Saccharomyces cerevisiae S288C: one gene and its partners. The gene in region 1 interacts genetically with each later gene. Each region holds a gene or a part of one and is shown in the gene's direction. Other genes may lie near its edges. The genes, in order: RAD59, EST2, SML1 and RFA2.

The links.
Region 2: mutations in RAD59 (region 1) and EST2 impair growth when combined (synthetic growth defect), as found in Saccharomyces cerevisiae (2 studies listed by BioGRID, with this or other methods).
Region 3: of RAD59 (region 1) and SML1, changing one enhances a phenotype caused by changing the other (phenotypic enhancement), as found in Saccharomyces cerevisiae (one study listed by BioGRID).
Region 4: mutations in RAD59 (region 1) and RFA2 together harm fitness more than expected from each alone (negative genetic interaction), as found in Saccharomyces cerevisiae (3 studies listed by BioGRID, with this or other methods).

The regions. Positions count from the first base shown.
Region 1 is NC_001136.10:342,633-347,483, reverse strand, and holds RAD59 (Rad59p), read left to right. Parts: upstream 1-2,530; coding exon 2,531-3,247; downstream 3,248-4,851. Other genes in the region: USO1 (Uso1p), read right to left, coding at 1-1,819; small subunit rRNA maturation protein TSR1, read right to left, coding at 3,499-4,851. UniProt on the Saccharomyces cerevisiae protein: Involved in the repair of double-strand breaks in DNA during vegetative growth via recombination and single-strand annealing. Anneals complementary single-stranded DNA.
Region 2 is NC_001144.5:763,751-770,764, forward strand, and holds EST2 (telomerase reverse transcriptase), read left to right. Parts: upstream 1-2,791; coding exon 2,792-5,446; downstream 5,447-7,014. Other genes in the region: septin CDC3, read right to left, coding at 1-387; NKP2 (Nkp2p), read left to right, coding at 1,058-1,519; TAD3 (Tad3p), read right to left, coding at 1,516-2,323, 2,380-2,431, 2,500-2,608; BUD6 (formin-mediated actin nucleation enhancer), read right to left, coding at 5,568-7,014. UniProt on the Saccharomyces cerevisiae protein: Telomerase is a ribonucleoprotein enzyme essential for the replication of chromosome termini in most eukaryotes. It elongates telomeres.
Region 3 is NC_001145.3:155,488-160,197, forward strand, and holds SML1 (ribonucleotide reductase inhibiting protein SML1), read left to right. Parts: upstream 1-3,895; coding exon 3,896-4,210; downstream 4,211-4,710. Other genes in the region: NTE1 (lysophospholipase), read right to left, coding at 1-2,771; HUG1 (Hug1p), read left to right, coding at 3,273-3,479; CMP2 (calcineurin catalytic subunit A), read left to right, coding at 4,693-4,710. UniProt on the Saccharomyces cerevisiae protein: Strong inhibitor of ribonucleotide reductase (RNR1) and is involved in regulating dNTP production.
Region 4 is NC_001146.8:45,409-50,583, forward strand, and holds RFA2 (Rfa2p), read left to right. Parts: upstream 1-2,878; coding exon 2,879-2,885; intron 2,886-2,993; coding exon 2,994-3,808; downstream 3,809-5,175. Other genes in the region: tetratricopeptide repeat-containing protein EMW1, read right to left, coding at 1-2,614; putative SCF ubiquitin ligase complex subunit SKP2, read right to left, coding at 3,989-5,175. UniProt on the Saccharomyces cerevisiae protein: Binds to single-stranded sequences participating in DNA replication in addition to those mediating transcriptional repression (URS1) and activation (CAR1). Stimulates the activity of a cognate strand exchange protein (SEP1).

The DNA.
Region 1 (4,851 bases):
AAAGCAAGGATTTAATCACGGATTTATCCGAAAGAAAATCGTTCGTGGCCTTAAAGTCGCCAAAGAGCCAATATATTAGGAACGTTAAGTAGGAAATAGGAATTCTTATGTCAGCAGCAGTAAGGGAAGTAGTTAGCAATTCACTTATTGTTTGAATTGCCTTTAAGGGTTCTTCGTCTTCGAGATCGTTACCGGTGGTAACATTTCTTGTTATTTCACGTAGTTCTTCGCTATATTTGTGATCCTGTTGGAAAAAAAACATAAAAATATCAGTTGTGAAGAATAATTTAAAAGGGTTCAGATTCAATTCTGCGTCATAATTTAACAGGACTTCGAATAGATTTGCCTTGAAAGAACCTTCATATTCAGTGCCATCCTTCCCGTCGGTATCTTTATCTGAATCACTTTCTTTATCAGATTTGTTAGAACCACCATTTTCTTTAGCATTGTCGCCGACATTATTTGTTGAATTATTACACAATTGGACTTGTTTTAGTAAAAAATCTCTTTGAAGATCAAAATTATCCATGAAATAAGCCTTTAATAGTCTAGAACACGCAACTCTTGTATCAAACGTGTGAACGGAGTTGGCATAGAGCATCCAATTTATCAAGATGCTGACTACAGGAATTAATTTAATTGGACCACCGTTTGCAGTAGAGTTTACAGGTAATGAAGGATCGAAATATGGAACATCGATCTTACTAAACTCTAGCTGTGCATGTTCATTACTTCTAACCATGTTTGCGGCAGTCAAAAGAGCAACCGGTCTAACTTTTTTTGGGATATTATGAAAGAATGCAAGTCGCAACACAACCATTAATACGCTTGAGTCAAGCAACGCATTTTGATGCTTAGTGGTGACAGTATTTCCTGGCTCTACTGTTAGGCTGACGATATCTAAAGCTGTATTGATATTAACTATCCTTTGATCATTCCAAAAAAAAACTTCATCTTGAGATATTGGTTCACTCAAAAGGTGTGCCAGTTTTGGCAAGTTTCCTGTCTCAAGGAATAAAGTTTGATTAGAAGTGTTATACTTCAGGATGTTATTGATCAACGATAAACAATCATTGACGACGAGAGAGCCTCTTAACCCACCTTCTTCTTCGATGATGGAAAAGAGCCTTTCAAAAATGTTTTCAAAAGCAACCAATTTTTGAACGTGAGGTGAATCGTTCACTACTGCCATTAATAATAAAATAGCTTCATCCCTGATGGGCTCATGCATGTCATCTAGGAGTGAGACCATTGTGGATATGCTCGTTGGAAGTGAAATCAAAGCACTTCTCGCCTTCAACGGCCTCGTGGCCATCACTGCCTCTAGTAATTGAATTGTGTACAATCTAATATGGAAATTATCGATTTCCCAAAATTCAACAAGTAGGTGAATTAAATCTTCAGACTGCGTCAAAGCATCAGCAATCCATAACGAGAACTGATCTACTTGTTCCTTTTCTTGCTTCATCACCAATGGTGAGGGATACTTGCCATTCTGCAACCGCGATTGTTGAGAAATCCAACCTCTAGTTAAGTCGTCATGGCCATCGCCTCTGATGAAAAGAATCAAAATTGTTTCTAATATAGCCTTTACCGAATCTTCATCCATATAATCACGTTTCAAAGTATTGAGCAACGGTTTTAGCCCGGATGCAATCACTGATTCTCTATACTGCCGGCTAAATGCCTTTAATCCCAGCACAGCGGATCTCCTATCGCTAATCAAAGTGGAGTTCTCAACTCGATCGCACAACGTCGGAATGGTTTCATCCACAGATTGAATTTTTGGTTGCTGTATCAGTCCTTGAATGATGTCCATTCTTGATAGGAGGGTTGTTATAGATATTAATCACTCGAAGTCGTGAACAAGAATTGTCTTCTCTCCAGTATTCAGTCTCTGTGATGTCTAAACCCTGTTAATGTGCAAGGTCTATTTTTTTCGTAAGAACCACGCGCTTTAGGCTTTATTTCTGGTAATAATAGCAAGAAATAAGAACAGACAGTTGCAAATCTAAACGACTGTCCAAACGAAAGTATCAAGTTCGCTAAATTTACTTCGAAGACAGAAGCCAGTAAATTTTGTTTTCTTCATGGAAATAGTTTCCAAAAAGTTCTTAGTAATTACCATATGTTCTTGTATGTGGCGCTGCGAAAGAAAGGTTAGCCGACCGGCATCACCCATAATTGTATAATATAGCAATGAAGCAACTTGTTGAAGTTTTCTTTAAAGTACTATAGTATTGAATAATATCATGTTCACTTGATAAAATTGGGTATTTTATTGACCATTATATCGCGTTGGACACTAATGTCTTTCAAGTTGGTGTCACGTCACGTGCTTTTCAATGTACTGGGGCAAATTGATTAGAGGAAGCCACAGTTTGGCAAGGGCAGATATGATAGGAAGCAGTAACGGCAAGGAAGGATAAGAACATCATTGAGGGAGTCTGTGGCAGTTTAGCACATGCTTTGGACCATTAAAGGGTTACGTAGAGGAGAAGAGCATATTTCAGGATAAACAGACAAAATAATGACGATACAAGCGAAGCCCAGTTCGAGCATATCGTATGATTCGACTACATACGGCACAGCACCGGGCTTGGATATAAAAGAGTTCCAAATCATCGAAGATTGGAATGGAAGACCTGCCAGCGCTTGGTCGGTGCAGAGGATTGGGCTTCTACAGTCCAAGATCGAAAGGTACACGTACAATATTTACCACAATAATAAATATGGGAAGCACAACTTATCTAAGCTGATACCAGGGCATGCTCTCATTCAGTTCGCTAATGAAACATTCGGGTATGATGGTTGGCGAATGGATGTTATAGATGTTGAGGCCCGGGAGTGCCAGCCCTTCACCGCAGTAAATAATGGAGAAAACACCAACACTAGTGAGGTCAAGTATACAGTTGTGGCAGAAGCCCAAGTAAAGGTTACCTTAAAGGATGGCACCAACACACAGTGTGGTGGGCTAGGTAGAATTACTTTGTCCTCGAGAGGTGAATGTTATAACAGGTCGAAAAAAGAGGCTGTAGGCGATGCGTTAAAGAAGGCGTTATTGAGCTTTGAAAAAATCATACTCGATTATGAGACTAAGATTACAAATAATTACTATGTCGATGGCTTGTATGGCTCAAAAAAAATTAAAAATGAAGCTAACACCAATTACAACTTATTGTCAGCGACTAATAGCAAGCCGACTTTTATCAAATTGGAGGATGCTAAAGGCACGCATATCAAATAAAAAAAAAAAGAAAGAAAAAGGGCACAAGTAGCAAATTTATTTTGCTTGATAAAAAGTCATAATTTTCACATAATGCATTAATACCTCTACAAAATAAGTGGCATTTGTATTTGATGCGAACGGAACAGGTATCGACTTACCTTTATCAACAGTATCGTTGATACTATTTTATTAGCATTATATTATACAAATAGATCTCACGTACTTATATATATATATATATATATATATACGTGTATATTTTTATCACTTTACATACCATTCCAAGGTAACGAAGGCATGGGCCACATACGTTTGTACAAGGACATAGCAACAACATCCTGCGCAGATAATTTACCATCAAATGTAGCCTTGAAATAACCATGCGTACCCAAACTTTCTTTAATGAAACCTGACCTACCTGATTTGGTGAACAGTGGGATAGACTTGAACCATTCCACATCTTCTGGTCTGAAAAACATGTAACGTACAGTAACCACAGTTTTGTGGAATCTGAATGGATGACCGGTCAAAATGGCTCTCTTTGCTAATATTCTTGAATGGTCTGCATTCAGGAATGTACCGTGACCAATCAATTCAATATTTTTGGCATCTGTTGGTGATGGCTTGAAAAAAATTGCAGGTGACTGGGTGAAATCTACGGGAGCAATACATGTGGCAACTGATACTGTATCTGGATGCAGAAACCTTTCATACTTGTGAACATTATTAGGACTGTTAGAGCCTTGAGAAAATAGAGGTTGAATAGTGTATCTTCTAACACCGTATTGTACTACGATAGGCTCCTGAGAAGGCACAGGTTTGTCATATTGTTCCCATCTTTGTAGAGAGAAGTTGACTACCGCATTTTTGTGTTCATGAAGTAGTAATCCGTAGACAGCAAATAATAGTTGTTTAGGATCTTGAATCTTTTCAAGCAGAAACTTAGGAAACCTGATGAACATCCTAATACGATCACCTGCAATGGCCTGTGCTTCATTCTTGGTTTCCTTTATGATTCTGTTTTTAGTGTTTTTGTAATTGCCAATCCTTAATAGACGTTTCCATTCCGCTGGTGATGATGGGTCCTTTTCATCAACTTGCCAATCACAGTTGTATAAGTTTTTCAAACCTCTATACCTTTTCAAACGTTCGATGGCAGATTCACTGGGCTCTAGTTCGATCTCATCGGGGAACTCTCTGTCCTCCTTTTCCATATCTCTAAATTCCCTCAGTTGACGTTCTTCTTCTTCGGGTGAAAGCTCTTCAAATCCTTCATTATCCTCTATGTCATATTCTTCGTCGCCTGCTACCTCTTCATTGTCTTGCTCCACCATCATTTCATCATCAATTTCCATCATTGTCTCATCCTTTCCATTGGTCTGTTCTGCCTCTTCTTCCTCATTTGCGTCAATGACGTCATCCAAGTACCACTTCGCTTGATAGTCAGAAGTTCCCTTAGGAACTGCCGCCTTTTTTGATGTTTGTTCCCTCCCTGGCAAGAAGCCATGGTCGTCGTATCTCGCGGTTGTCAAACCGTCGTACTCAAAATCCTCGTCATAATCTGACCAATCTTCCGTGCCTTCTGGGGCATATTCGTCCAAAGTATCTCTATTCATATTACT
Region 2 (7,014 bases), on another chromosome or scaffold:
ACCATCAGGGCCGACACATAGGAGATTGAAACTGAATCCGTTCTTTATGGACCTTCTGTGCCATTGCTTGGGCAAATTAGCAAACCCTACATAACCATTGATTTGACGACGAATGAACTTAATCTCCGGTTGGTCAGGCAGAACTTGACCCTTTTCGCTCTGAGAGGAGGTGATGCCCATACCGAGGCCGGGTTCCACCTTTACATCGGATTCAGCTGCCTCAAATCTCTCGCTGTCGTCATTTTGCGTACCGTTCGTGTACTGCGAGTCCACTCCATCATGATCCTGCGACTCTTGTTTGATCTGAACATCATTGAATTGATCATGCTGACGCTCTTCTTGTTCCGGGTCCTGCTTAATGGACACTTGTTCCTCCTTTAAACTCATGGCAACGTATTATAGGCCGATGTAATCGTTCAGTTGTCGTGTGATCCTGGATTTGATATTTTCTTGATCTGCTTTCCTCGAGAGATTTTAACTTAATACACAAAACAACACAAAACGCAATTCCTAAAACCGAGACAAAAAATGGCAAAAAATGGGAAGCGAAAACACGCCCCCACCATATCATTACACACGTAGATCATAAAAGACGAAAATACTAAATTAGCCGCCCAGGTGGTTCCTTTTTACGAAAGGAAGGAAGGAGAAATCTAGAGGTGCTGCTATATATGTTTGCAAGGTGCGAGAATATTCTGTCACAATTATCAAGCAGCAAGTTATATAAAGTTGTTTCTCACAGCTTCTTGCACTCCCTTGCGGTGCCTTTCCTGCACCACTAGTGTAACTGCTGATGTCTTCCATTTGATGTCAGAATCGATTTCTTGTTACGCCACGAACAGTTAATATATAGAATTAAAGGAATGATCTTGTACAACTACAAGATAACAATAGATTAACAGCCAATATTACCGTCGCCGCTGCCCGCTTCGCGGAGAAACAGCGAAAAACAACGAAGATCGTTCTCGAAAAAGCCCAAAAGCTGGGTATAACGCAACAAAATAATCATAGATTTGACAATTGTGCTCCCAATCTTGCTTTGAAATTACCATTATAAATGAACTCTGAACAGCTGCTGCATAACTATGTTTCGGATTCGCTACTCACTACTCTGATAAGTTTTCAAGAGTTCAAGCAGCAACTACAGTCGTACACGAGCGACGAGCAACAACTGCAACATTGGTACGAATTGCTTCAGGCCAGGGATGCGCGAGTGACCTCTGAGTTAGAAGCACGAATCAAGCAGTTTTTCATAACGTTGCGCTCTAGATTACTGCGATTTCTGGAAAGCGAGCAACTATCACACTCCCTTAGCCTCGAGACACTGATCGACGCGCTGTACAAGATTAATGACCTGTTGCAACAGCGTTTGCAGATTCTGGATGATGCTATTCAGGAAAAGACCTCGGAACTAGCAGAATTTGAAAATATGGTTCGCTCACCGAGTGCAGGAGACAATGCCATTCCTGGCCTATTACAAATTATACAATCTTATATTAATCTATTAGAGGAAAACTAGCAGCAGACATCCCGGTCAACCTGCCCCACAGGATATTCCTCGCCGATCCATTGAAAGGCTTCGTATGTTGAGTTTAGCTGTTTGTTATCGTTCATGCAGTACCCGTCACCACTCGTTAATTTTAAGCTCCCGGTGCGCTGCATCTCTGTAAGGAAGACCACTCGTCTCACACGAGAATGGATCAGGGCCATGGAGCACATTGAGCACGGCTCATGGGTCAAATAGACGTCGTAATCAAGACACAGATAAGAGTTTGCGTCTTCGTCTACACCCTCCCTGAGTCTTTCGCCTACCGCACGGATGCCCACCATTACACTGTGGTCGATGGGTAGCGAGTTTTCGCAGTTTCTGCCATCTTCTGCCACCACTTTGTCCTTCTTTCTTGATGGGTCAACAAAGACGCTCACCATTGGAAACTGTTTTCCTGCCGTTGCCATCTTCACAGACAACGTCGACGCACGCGATAGCTCATTTCGTACTTCCTGCATGTCTATTTTATAGTCGTTCAATATTTGATCATTGGGGTTGCCGTTCCAAATCAACGGCCAGTACTTCACAGACCAGGCATTGTTCAGTTCCTTTGTGCTGGGCGCAAACTCAGGCACTTCGATATCATCACTCAGTTCATACTTTTTCGTTCCAACCCAAATACTCTTCAATTTATTGTTTATTTCACCTTCGTCGCAAATATACTCTTTCGAACACAACACCACTTCCAAGGTGGAGGTCTCGATGTCCTTGCGGATCCTTTTCAAATGTCTCAATGAAACAGGGTCATTTTTCTGAAAATCGTTTCGAATTAGCCTACTTTACTAGTTAGTTTACTTCCATGAATACAAAAGCAAAAATCATATACATACTCTATTACTTTCTTCGAGTCTCTTGGATCTATTCTTATACTCCATACATTGACTGCACTTATATATGTTTGAAAGTTAGTTAATTGATCCTGATTTCTGTTAGATCTCATAGATACATACTTAGTTTGGGCGTATTTACATCTTTGAAATTTCTAATTTGCAGAAGCCGATTTTCTATTATCCCGTTCTGATAATCGATTTTTAGCGGATTATTAACTTTCTTAACCATAACTAACACGCCCTCATGAATATTATCCTTCTGAGGTTTGAATAATATATACCTTTAGATGAGCTATTGGTGATTCGCATTTAGGAATGAAAAAAAGTAAAGCATGGCAATGAATGACACAAGTGAAATAGAAAAGTGAAAAATTAAAAAAAAAAAAAAAAAAAAAAAAACTGATTTATACTCATGAAAATCTTATTCGAGTTCATTCAAGACAAGCTTGACATTGATCTACAGACCAACAGTACTTACAAAGAAAATTTAAAATGTGGTCACTTCAATGGCCTCGATGAAATTCTAACTACGTGTTTCGCACTACCAAATTCAAGAAAAATAGCATTACCATGCCTTCCTGGTGACTTAAGCCACAAAGCAGTCATTGATCACTGCATCATTTACCTGTTGACGGGCGAATTATACAACAACGTACTAACATTTGGCTATAAAATAGCTAGAAATGAAGATGTCAACAATAGTCTTTTTTGCCATTCTGCAAATGTTAACGTTACGTTACTGAAAGGCGCTGCTTGGAAAATGTTCCACAGTTTGGTCGGTACATACGCATTCGTTGATTTATTGATCAATTATACAGTAATTCAATTTAATGGGCAGTTTTTCACTCAAATCGTGGGTAACAGATGTAACGAACCTCATCTGCCGCCCAAATGGGCTCAACGATCATCCTCATCATCCGCAACTGCTGCGCAAATCAAACAACTTACAGAACCAGTGACAAATAAACAATTCTTACACAAGCTCAATATAAATTCCTCTTCTTTTTTTCCTTATAGCAAGATCCTTCCTTCATCATCATCTATCAAAAAGCTAACTGACTTGAGAGAAGCTATTTTTCCCACAAATTTGGTTAAAATTCCTCAGAGACTAAAGGTACGAATTAATTTGACGCTGCAAAAGCTATTAAAGAGACATAAGCGTTTGAATTACGTTTCTATTTTGAATAGTATTTGCCCACCATTGGAAGGGACCGTATTGGACTTGTCGCATTTGAGTAGGCAATCACCAAAGGAACGAGTCTTGAAATTTATCATTGTTATTTTACAGAAGTTATTACCCCAAGAAATGTTTGGCTCAAAGAAAAATAAAGGAAAAATTATCAAGAATCTAAATCTTTTATTAAGTTTACCCTTAAATGGCTATTTACCATTTGATAGTTTGTTGAAAAAGTTAAGATTAAAGGATTTTCGGTGGTTGTTCATTTCTGATATTTGGTTCACCAAGCACAATTTTGAAAACTTGAATCAATTGGCGATTTGTTTCATTTCCTGGCTATTTAGACAACTAATTCCCAAAATTATACAGACTTTTTTTTACTGCACCGAAATATCTTCTACAGTGACAATTGTTTACTTTAGACATGATACTTGGAATAAACTTATCACCCCTTTTATCGTAGAATATTTTAAGACGTACTTAGTCGAAAACAACGTATGTAGAAACCATAATAGTTACACGTTGTCCAATTTCAATCATAGCAAAATGAGGATTATACCAAAAAAAAGTAATAATGAGTTCAGGATTATTGCCATCCCATGCAGAGGGGCAGACGAAGAAGAATTCACAATTTATAAGGAGAATCACAAAAATGCTATCCAGCCCACTCAAAAAATTTTAGAATACCTAAGAAACAAAAGGCCGACTAGTTTTACTAAAATATATTCTCCAACGCAAATAGCTGACCGTATCAAAGAATTTAAGCAGAGACTTTTAAAGAAATTTAATAATGTCTTACCAGAGCTTTATTTCATGAAATTTGATGTCAAATCTTGCTATGATTCCATACCAAGGATGGAATGTATGAGGATACTCAAGGATGCGCTAAAAAATGAAAATGGGTTTTTCGTTAGATCTCAATATTTCTTCAATACCAATACAGGTGTATTGAAGTTATTTAATGTTGTTAACGCTAGCAGAGTACCAAAACCTTATGAGCTATACATAGATAATGTGAGGACGGTTCATTTATCAAATCAGGATGTTATAAACGTTGTAGAGATGGAAATATTTAAAACAGCTTTGTGGGTTGAAGATAAGTGCTACATTAGAGAAGATGGTCTTTTTCAGGGCTCTAGTTTATCTGCTCCGATCGTTGATTTGGTGTATGACGATCTTCTGGAGTTTTATAGCGAGTTTAAAGCCAGTCCTAGCCAGGACACATTAATTTTAAAACTGGCTGACGATTTCCTTATAATATCAACAGACCAACAGCAAGTGATCAATATCAAAAAGCTTGCCATGGGCGGATTTCAAAAATATAATGCGAAAGCCAATAGAGACAAAATTTTAGCCGTAAGCTCCCAATCAGATGATGATACGGTTATTCAATTTTGTGCAATGCACATATTTGTTAAAGAATTGGAAGTTTGGAAACATTCAAGCACAATGAATAATTTCCATATCCGTTCGAAATCTAGTAAAGGGATATTTCGAAGTTTAATAGCGCTGTTTAACACTAGAATCTCTTATAAAACAATTGACACAAATTTAAATTCAACAAACACCGTTCTCATGCAAATTGATCATGTTGTAAAGAACATTTCGGAATGTTATAAATCTGCTTTTAAGGATCTATCAATTAATGTTACGCAAAATATGCAATTTCATTCGTTCTTACAACGCATCATTGAAATGACAGTCAGCGGTTGTCCAATTACGAAATGTGATCCTTTAATCGAGTATGAGGTACGATTCACCATATTGAATGGATTTTTGGAAAGCCTATCTTCAAACACATCAAAATTTAAAGATAATATCATTCTTTTGAGAAAGGAAATTCAACACTTGCAAGCATATATATATATATATATACATATAGTTAATTAGTACTAATAATACATGAAATACTGACAGCTTATGATGCTGATAAGGAAAATATTGCCGCAAACTTTGTAATAAGCCAAAAGCACTAATCTCTTTTCCGTTAGCTTTCATAAAATTAGTGTATTTAAGTAAACCCCGGCCCAAAATATGCTCTCAAATTTGCTTCATCCTTCTGCTTTCTTATCCTTTCTACTTCTTCAAAGCCTCCCGATTTTTTCAGGTTTGAATTACCCACAAAATTTTCCAGTTCATCATCAAATTCATTACTAGCTTTAAGTTTTCTTTCCATCTCCCACATCTTCTCAGCCTTGTCAATAGCTTCGACCCTACTATCGTGGTCAGGGTTTAAAGATTGGACGGCCACCATAACTTGCTCCCTTACCTGATTAAATGTGCCCGGTCTCATAATAGGCAAAATAGGATTACTTTTTGATCTCGAAGGGTTTTTTTCTTGTTCTTCACAACATAACTTAATAAGATCGAAAGTTTCTAATGCCTTACCCAAGTCTTCCTTCAAATCTAAAATCAACTCTTCCTGCAACGTGAGAAACTGTTGTTCTTCACAGACCTTATCGAGCTCAGCTTCCCAAGTTTTTTTCCAATGTGGTTTTTCAGTATCAATAAACTCCTGTAGTTTAAGTACATCTGCTTGGGCATTTTCTAAATCCTTGGATACGGTTTCTAGCTTCTTTTTAGCGGGCTGAGACCTACGCTCAGCAACGTCTTTCCTCATAATTTCGATTACATCTTGCAAATCATCTACTTTACTTAGCAGAGTATCGGATAAATCACCGAGTTCGGTCTGTGATTTTTCCATGTACATTCTGTTGGAAGAGTTTTTGGCAGAAAATGATAAAGACTTAAAGTTATCGACCTTTCGTAAAATGTTGAAAATAGTCTCATTAATATTTGACCTATTAATATTATGCACTTGTTTTATTTTCCCCAATTCGTACTGAATATCTTTGATCGTTTTATCATCATCTTTTTTGTTTTGCCCCACAAGATCGTGTTTGTTAGCTTCAAGGCCAGGTTGTGGTAAAACTTCCGTTTGCTTGCCGCTAATTGCAGAACCAAAACTCATTTCTTTTAAATGTCTTATTATATCATTCTGACTATTCGATATCTCCATCTTAACTGTGTCAATGAATTCCTTGATCGTATTATTTGGATTCTCTTCGAGCTTTAGCTCGATAACAAACCCTTCTTTAATATCGAGAAGATTTAGTTCCTCTAATTCATAGAATACTCCATATTGAGGATCCATAATATATATGTCTGGGAAGGAATTTGCTCCAGGAGAATACGCAAAGCGCTCAATAAATAGGAGCCTTAATGCGTTTTTTGTAGTAGGCAGTTGCACATGACACTTCTTTGTTTTGTCTCCTATCCTTAAAAATACTGGACAAGTTCCATTCATGGCTTTATCTGGCGAAGTTGTAACAACGCTTGATAATCTTCGTGGAGATGCACGAACATTCTCAATAGGCAATGGCGTTTTCGCCAATGGACTCGCCTTTGATACATCGTCAATGCTTTTACCCTTATTTTCAGCTGAATTAATGTTTCTA
Region 3 (4,710 bases), on another chromosome or scaffold:
GCACTAGATAAAAATCCAACATAGACATCGCTCTTGGCAACGATATTAACAAATGATTTGTAACCAATTAGAGAGGACAAGTAGCCCACAATACCACCAGATCCTACAGAGTATAACAAATGTTGAGTATGATGAGGATTTTCACCCTTGTGTGAACTTTGGGCTGAAACCTGCTCTGGTTTAGACATTGATGATACTACTGACGAGGACGAATTTGTTGTCACATTAACTTTCCCGGAAATGATATAGAATAGGCCTTTACCACGAGCGTTCTGCTCAACAATTGTGGTGCCCTTTTTAAAGAACTTCAACTGAATGCCTTGTGCAAAGTCTTTCTTGACATCTTCGAAATCCAAATTGGGTGTCAACTCCTCTTTGTAAGCTCTAGGTTTTTTTTTGTCCTGGCTTTTACTTTTATTATGCCTTTTATTGCTGATAGTGTATTCTTTGGGTAGGATTCTTAACATTGTCGGTTGAGTTTGAGGAGAGGCAAATGATGAAGCTACGGAAATGTCAGATGGTGTACAGTGAGGGGACATCAGAAAACTTGCGTTACTTGGACGGCGGCTATACATTTCATTAAGTTGAGGAGAGTTTAAAGAAGACATATTTGCTATCGAAGAAGATGAAACGGACATATTGCTTTTGTTTACACCCAAGTATGTTAACATTGCCTCAACTAAAGCCATTCTTAAAGCAGAGTCCTCGGTTTCTTCCTGGGCAGCAGAAAAGGATGTTGTGGGCAGTAAATTAGGTCTTGGAGAGACCCGTCCCTTCAAATGAACGGGACTTGGGTGGATATGGTCATGAACAGAAGTATTATCCAAGGACAAGGGCGATGTACTAAGTTGTGCGTTGCGCAATTCTGGGGACAAAGAAGAAAACTTCTTAGAGTGTACGGAAGCATTGTTACTGCTACTCCTAGAAGATCGCTTATGTTGGTTAGAGGTAGAAGTGTTAATACCGTTTGATTTATTGCGGTTGTTATTATGGATTGGGTTGGGTGACAGAATATCCATAGTTCTAGACAGTGGGACATTTGACAGTAAATCACCAGGATTAAATTGGTCTCTTGAACCCAGTACGACATGTCTCGAACTTGGATGGTGGGTGAATTCTGGTTTCAGTGAAAGGGAATTCGAACTTGTGTTAGCGTTGGCGTTAGCAATCTTAAGCGATTGAATGATACCATCAGATGGCTTCGCTTTGGGCGGTTTCTTCAATTTAGAGGAAGCATTACTATTTTTGGGTTTCGGTTCTAAATCAGCCGATCCGCTCGACTTATCTACAGTTTTAAACTTACGAATAACGGCCTCTTTCAAATAATAAGGCAATTCATAAACGATGGATTTATTTAGTAAAACTTCGATATCCATGATCTCCTTTGTTAAACCTAAGTAGTCGTGAGCAGTTTGGAACGTAACATGGTATAGCTTGGTGAGAACCATCTGTATGATATGGGAAGCAGACCGTGGGTATTTTGCGGTTAATTTGGCAAACGATTGAGGTGGGATAATACCAATTGTGCAGTCTGTAGCCGCACGGGCGACAAGTTTAGGCATTGAAGAGGGGAACGTTGGAAAGCTGTTGGTGGAGTTTGTCATGGAATCTGTGTTGGAGAAGTTCTGCTCTGATGAGCAGAACATATTGTTGACCGACACCGTTGTGTCTATAGGTGACGATAACTCAGAGGGAAAGTTACTGTTGCCATACGAGGACATGGAATGCGTGAATAAGTTTAAAATGCTCACGAGGGAGGTCAGCGGGTTTCCTGGCTTGACTGTATTTAGCAGTTGAAAATTTCCCAGTCCATTTTTCAGATGAATGTAACCAACGGATTCATCTTCTTCATCGATGAGGTTAGAAGAACAAGATTTGGTGTCGTAGTTATCAATGTCATCATCTTCTTCTTCGTCTTCTTCATCTCTATCCTGGTCGTCAAGACCATCCGTGTCACTGTGGTCAGTTTCATCGCCATGGTCCTTATCTGAATGATCTACTTCATGATATAACTGCAGGGTGCCTTCAACGACGATGGCAAACCCAATAGTACTGTCCAACAGTAAAATCTCACCCTCATCCATTTTTTGAGTTTTCATATTCTTGGTCAGGTCATGGAAGACTGGTTTTTCCAGATAGCCAAAGATTTTGATGGCGCTGAGAAATTGGTCAAGGTAAGATGAAAGAAAGGTTTCGTTTTCGTTGCCATCTTTCAATGAATGCTTTTTTGAGTCTATAATCGAGCTTGCACCCGTGGTAGAGGAACCTATGGCGGGTGGCGCGTTGGCTGACTGAGTGGAAGCTGCATTGATATTGGCGCTGGAGCCAGATTTACCTGTATTTTCCAGCGGCAAGAACTCCGGGGTCAGCCTCTTGTACTGGGATAGAATTCTCTCCTTCATGATGGTGTAAGTCACAAAGACTATGACGGCTAGGGCAAACAGGATCAGCCAAAAGGAAAGAGTGAACTGAACATGGTGTAACTTGAAGAAGATCCACTTCGGAATCCTTAAAAGCGATAAAGTTGCCAGATACCAACCGTACCTGAAGATCATACGAGAGGCACCCATAACAAAGTAGGACACAACCCACGAGAAGTTGAAGAGGGATGAAAGTGACCACGTCTGCGCCTCAGAAATAATCTGGTCGGTGAGACATGTCTGGAATCTATAAGAAGTATAATTACTGGAATTAAAGCTGGAGCCAAGACTGTTTTTCGTGTTTTGGCCGGTATTGTTGGTGTTGTTCGTAGTGCAATTCATTGAACGCATGCAAAAACTAGAGCCAAGCCTTTCTATTCTTTTCTTGTTTATTTTATATTCGTTAGAGTTTTGTGGTGTTTCTTTAACTTAATAAACTTTCGAGAAAAGTGTCAAGTTTCCCAGATTTTTAAGATCCTTATAACCTGTAAAAAAAAAAAAAAAAAAAAAAAAGAAGGGTTTAAATAAAAATCGGACTTACTCAAAGGGTTGAAAAGCACTTTAATATAGGTTTTTAGTTTCGGGTAAGAAGATGTGTCAAAGGTCTCGAAAAGGAAACATTAGGGCAAATACGTAAAGGTTGCCTTCGTATCTCGTTTCCACAGCAACGAGAAACGAGATACGAAGGCAACTGATTCCCAGCATATAAAAGGCCATGAATTTTTGGCGTTTCCTATTGTCTTTTCGAAACTATTTCTTTCATTCCTTTCCTTTCTTGTTCTTTTACTTATAAGAAAAATAATATACGTATATATATAACTACAAACCACATCAGCAATAAAAAAAAACTATATGACCATGGACCAAGGCCTTAACCCAAAGCAATTCTTCCTTGACGATGTCGTCCTACAAGACACTTTGTGCTCAATGAGCAACCGTGTCAACAAGAGTGTCAAGACCGGCTACTTATTCCCCAAGGATCACGTTCCTTCTGCCAACATCATTGCCGTCGAACGTCGCGGCGGTCTTTCTGACATTGGTAAGAATACTTCCAACTAAGAGCATGCTTCTCTTTTTTTTTGTAGGCCAATGATAGGAAAGAACAATAGATTATAAATACGTCAGAATATAGTAGATATGTTTTTATGTTTAGACCTCGTACATAGGAATAATTGACGTTTTTTTTTGGCCAACATTTGAAATTTTTTTTTGTTACCTCGCGCTGAGCCCAAACGGGCTCCACTACCCGCCGCGGTCGCCATTTTGGGAAGTCATCCGTCCCAAAAAGGAAATAGCCATAACATATCGTTACTGTTTTGGAACATCGCCCGTTTCGCCCGATTCCGCCTCAGCGGGTATAAAAAGAGATCTTTTTTTTTCCTGGCTGTCCCTTCCCATTTTTAAATGTCTTATCTGCTCCTTTGTGATCTTACGGTCTCACTAACCTCTCTTCAACTGCTCAATAATTTCCCGCTATGCAAAATTCCCAAGACTACTTTTACGCTCAAAATCGCTGCCAACAACAACAAGCCCCTTCCACATTGCGTACCGTGACCATGGCGGAATTTAGAAGGGTGCCTTTGCCACCTATGGCTGAGGTTCCTATGTTGTCTACTCAAAACTCCATGGGCAGCTCCGCTTCTGCCTCCGCTTCTTCATTAGAAATGTGGGAAAAGGATTTGGAGGAGAGACTCAACTCTATCGATCATGACATGAACAACAACAAATTTGGTTCTGGCGAACTAAAATCTATGTTCAACCAGGGTAAGGTCGAGGAAATGGACTTCTAAAGTTCCTTTCATACTCTTTTCTTTTCTCTTTCCATTTCCCACTAGTTCTGTTCTTTTCTTCTCTTAGATACCCTTCTTTTCAGGGACTCTCGTCCTACTATTGTTGTCATTCTCGAAACATTCTCTCCCGTGCATTTTCCTTTCCCTTTATATACATATATATATATATATATATATATGTCTCTTCTACGTATTTTTGTATTTCTGTGTCTTTATCAAAGATAGTCTATAATACGTTTGATACAGCTAGATATCGCTAGCGCCAACATTGTCCCCCTCTCTTGATCAATGCTTTTTTTCGGCCCGAGACAAATGAGAAAATGTCCTAAAAATACCTTTCATCAAGACTCCTATTTTTCCTTAGAAAAAACATATATCCAACTGGAACAGTATTAAGCCAATTGCTACGATACAAACAAAAGGAGATATTCCTTCCCTCCCATAGAGTCACACAGGAGCCAGTACTTCTTCTTGAACCCGCAATGTCTTCAGACGCTATA
Region 4 (5,175 bases), on another chromosome or scaffold:
TGTATTTCCAGTCTTTGCAAACCAGACTGCCTGGCCCATATTTACCTTCCATTTCACCAAGTGATTCATAGGCAGCCACCAAATCTTCACAAGCATCCACTGTATCATTCCAAACCTTTTCTTCAACTTCTAAATCAGGATTGTGAGAAATGGCCCTATAAGCCTTCTCGTGGCATTCTAGGGCGGCCCATGGTCTCTTCCTCCAAAGTTCTACTCTTGCGACCAGTCGCCAACATCTTGCACTGGTTGTAATTACCTGAGGTAAAGTGTTACAGATAAACTCAGTACAGCTCTTTTGAAAATAAGATAATTGCTGCGGCTCCTCTGGATATTCACTAGTCACTAATAGTTCTACTAGTTTTTCAATAATTGGTAAGTCGATGGAACCTTCGCCAGATTTGTCCCTCCTAATACTGACTAATTGTTTACATGCAGTTAAGACATCCTCCCACTCATTCAACTTAACAGCAACAAGCATGTAATTCTCCCAAATTTTCCAGTTCTTTTGAGCGTCACATGAAATGGCTCTTTTCAAACAACTATAAGCTTCTTTCAATTTATCCATTTTCGTATATGCAGCGCTCAAATTTGACCATGAAAGAGCATGATAAGGGTCTAATGAAACACATCTGGTAAATGCCTCCGCAGCTATCTGCATTTTACCACATTGTAATCCAACGCAACCATAAAAATACCACGTTTCAAAGCTTAATGGGTATTGCCTTAACGAGTCATTTAAATGTTTCAAGGTAGCAGAGTAATTTGGTTGTGCTCCAGACTTTGGAGGAGGATTAAAGTAATACTTTGCAAGGGAATTTTTTGCGTTGACGTATTTTCCAATCTCCCAACTTTTTTCCCATAGGGATGGATCCTGTTTTATATCACCCAAAATGGAGTAAGCCCTGGCATCCGAATCATTTTCATTTATTCTTTGAAGAAGGATTTCTTCTGCCTTTTTTTCATCTCCAACAGCGGCATAACATAATGCAGTCTCGCATGCCATACCAAGTCTTTCATAAATTTCCACAGCGGACTTCAAAATACCCAGCGACATATATTTTTCAGCTAAGGTGGCATCCAATTGCCACCTAGGGATGAACGGCAGCTGGTGGATGTATGACAGCCTGCTAGCAACATTGATTTCGCTTGAACTTGGAACCAATTTACTCTTAATCTTCAAATCCAATTCTTCTACGAGGGATTGCATTTGTAAAAGTCCTCTTTCAATAGTTTTAGCCTTTGTTGTCTCAATAATTGACCTTTCCCATAATGATCGGGCGAAAATAGACCAATTTTTGTCACCGTTTTGATATAATATTCTAGAAAGCAAAGCAGTAAGTTCTTCTTCCACAAGAGGATCCTTGGCCGGAGTTGTGTTCTTTATGGTGTAAAGACGTAACAGCAACTGGATGTTGTCGTAATCAGATAGGGTAGGTTGATCGTTAGGGTTCAAATCCAGCAACAACTTTGGAATATTTTCTTGACGTAGTGCCAATGGCAATAGTTTATCTTCTTCATAACCTTCATTTAGGTCTACCTTTTGTCTTTTACTATAAATTTGCTCGTCTAGAGGTTCATCAGCAATGGACTCAAAATGAGGCTTCTCCAATAATAGATCGGACTCTAAAGCAAATGTTTCTGGTGTAGCAGATGTCGTTCTCAAAGCAAAATTTTGAAATGTGAAGGATTTGGCAAGAATGATCAAACCGGCATGAGCCTTTTGCTGATATTTAGTTCTAGTAGCGCGTGCACCCGTCATTACAAATTCAAAATTTGTTATCTTTTTCGCTCTGGTCAAGGATGGCAGGCACAAATGTTCTGTGTTGATGGCCAATGAACATTTGACATTCTCTAGATAGTACATTGCACAAAGTTCTCTTTTGAAATCTTCGTGAATACTCTCCGGTAATTCCTTAGTTATCGCATATGCAAGGTCAGCAGACTGATATATTGCAGATGCAACACTAGCTTGGAACCCAGAAGGTTCTGGAATCAGTGACAATTGCGTCAAAAGAGCTCTTGCCCACCACCAATAAGCTACAGCTAATAATCCAGGAGTAGACTCAGCAGAGATAATAGGTAGCGGAATTTCTTGATCCGGGGTAACATCAAATAAGCTTTTTTGGCCGGTTATCCTTTCAAGTAATAATAGTGATAAAACCAAATACAATGGATCATCCATAAATTCGTAGGCAGGCTGGCCCATAATGGCTAATGAGCGGGAAAGGGCTGTATTAACTGCTCCTATTTCAATTCCAGTTTTGCCAAACAAACCTGAGATTGCTTTCAACCTAGCTGCTGGGCCGGTGTAGTTATTTTGAATAAAGGTCTGTAAGAGGGCAATAGCCAAAAATAGCATCTCATTTTCTTGGCCCATTTTGAAAACCTCAACGTTAAGAAAGTCATTTAGAGCAGCAATAACACTAGATGTGGATATTTCTCCCGAAATACTAATTTTTCCCTTAAATTTGTCCACAAATTGCTGTACTAGCTGGTATGATTCACCACTGATGATATGTTCAGCCTTTTTCACATATGTCTGGTCGAAAGAACCACTTTTCAGAGATTCTACTTCTGCAGACAGCAATAATTTTGCATGCAATAACGTCTCCATAATTTTGCAACCACTAGTTTACTTTTTGCCTGGTCTGATAGCTTCTTTTTAGCAATTCCTTTGGCCTCGATGAGCTTCCATTTTCAATTTTCATCTTTTTTTTCACGATGCGAAGTTTCTTAGATAATTATCGCCATATACGAAACGCGTTAGGAAACGCGTTCTTTCCTTTATAATAAGCAATATTATATCAACTTAAGGTGGAAGTAATGTGGCAAAATCGATAGCGACTATCTAGAACAGGCTAGTTTAAGCATATACATAATGGCAAGTATGTATTAGTGCTAGGAATTGGAGGATTTGCTCTTTTCTGCATCATTTTTTTTATTTTTATTGGCGAATGTTAAAATTACTAACAATGGATGGGATTCCAATACAGCCTATCAACCATATAACGAATATTCATCAGTAACGGGCGGTGGCTTTGAGAACTCTGAGTCCCGCCCAGGTAGTGGGGAGTCGGAAACTAACACTAGAGTTAACACCTTGACACCTGTGACGATCAAACAAATTCTAGAGTCCAAACAGGATATTCAGGACGGCCCCTTCGTTTCGCATAACCAAGAACTTCATCACGTTTGTTTTGTAGGTGTGGTGAGAAACATTACAGACCATACTGCAAATATTTTTTTAACTATTGAGGATGGAACTGGTCAAATAGAAGTGAGAAAATGGAGCGAAGATGCAAATGACTTGGCTGCCGGTAACGATGACTCTTCTGGTAAAGGTTATGGTTCGCAAGTCGCCCAACAATTTGAAATTGGCGGTTACGTAAAAGTTTTTGGTGCTTTGAAAGAGTTTGGTGGTAAGAAAAATATACAGTATGCGGTGATTAAGCCCATAGATTCATTCAATGAAGTGTTGACGCATCACTTGGAAGTCATCAAATGTCATTCCATAGCCAGTGGAATGATGAAACAACCTTTGGAGAGTGCATCCAACAACAATGGGCAATCATTATTTGTCAAGGATGATAACGATACATCTTCCGGCTCCAGTCCGTTACAAAGAATTCTAGAATTTTGTAAGAAGCAATGTGAGGGCAAAGACGCTAATTCATTCGCTGTTCCCATTCCATTGATCTCGCAATCCTTGAATTTGGATGAAACTACCGTCAGAAACTGCTGTACGACCTTGACTGACCAGGGTTTTATCTACCCAACTTTTGATGACAATAACTTCTTTGCCCTATGAAAATATATAGATTATTTTTTTAGCATTTCTTAGTATTCGTTTGTGTATTTCTACTAGGTAAGTACCAAAATTTGCCGGAAATAGAGTGGAAAATGGAACCCGTTCCAAGAAGGGGTAAGATGCATGAATATTAAGTTGGTTGCATAAATATGCTATATAAAGTCCACTACAAAAAGTCATTTATTTTTGCCCGTAAGAATAAAGAACGAATCCGTCCTTATCTCTGACTTCAATGGGAACATTTACACGCAGTACGGGCTTCAATAATAGTTCCCAGTCGTATCTGGTTCTAGGTGTACATAATGAAAAATGTCTCAGCATTCTTATTTTGACAGCTTTGAATTTTGACAAATTTCTCAGGAAACACCAGAGGTTAATATTTGGAATATCTTTAAAATTCTCTGGATCTTGGAAATCATTGAAAAAATTTTCCAATGTCACATTTTGTAAGAACTCCTCCACATCTAAATCTCTATATTCGATGGTTCGGTTCTTCAATTTGATTAAACTATCTCTTAGGCAACGCCTTACAGAGTTGTTCCAATAGTAAGTGTGGTGAATGTCTGATTCAGGGCTCATTACTGTACTTAAATTTGGAACTGCATTAGCATTTGGTATGTTATCTCTTATGGAATTATTTTCGTAACCGATTAATGTTTCTTGATCGTTCTCGTCGCCAACATCCTCATCTGTCTCATCAACACTAGTAATTGTTCTTGCTAGATGTTCCCAAAACGATAGAGGGGATAAAGGATACACATTGGTAAAGGGGATATTGATTACGTTAATAGAAATATTTTTACTTGGAAGTCTCTCCCAAAGTAAGCGGTAATAATGGTAGAAAGAATGAAATTCAGGGATTCTTTGTCGTTGAAAATTTTGTAGCTGTGCCGCAGTTAACATGGCGGGCTTTTTGTTATTGTCTGGTGATGGGTTATTTGAAACATCATTTCCTGTAGTTCTAGAAATATAGTTCAGATTTAAGGACAATACAACTGAAGATGTCGGCGGAGGAGTAATTATCTTCGAATCTGATGGCGCTTCAAATAATGTTTCTGTCATGGAATTGCAGTCATCAAAATCATCTTCTGTATCCAAACTTCGCTGTTGGAAATAATATGATTCGCCGACTACCTGTTCGTTAGTGAAACATTTGCTATTACAATCAATTGTTAGATTGGATAACGATGGGAAACAACTGCATAACAATAAGTCGAATTTACTGTTAATCTTCAGTAAGGATAGATGTTTGACCATTTTAAAGTAAGAGTGAAACAAACGTAATATTCCATTTCCAGGAACTACATCACATGAATCTAAAGTAAGTGCAGTGATAGGAGACTGTAAACTGTACAGTTCATTATCTT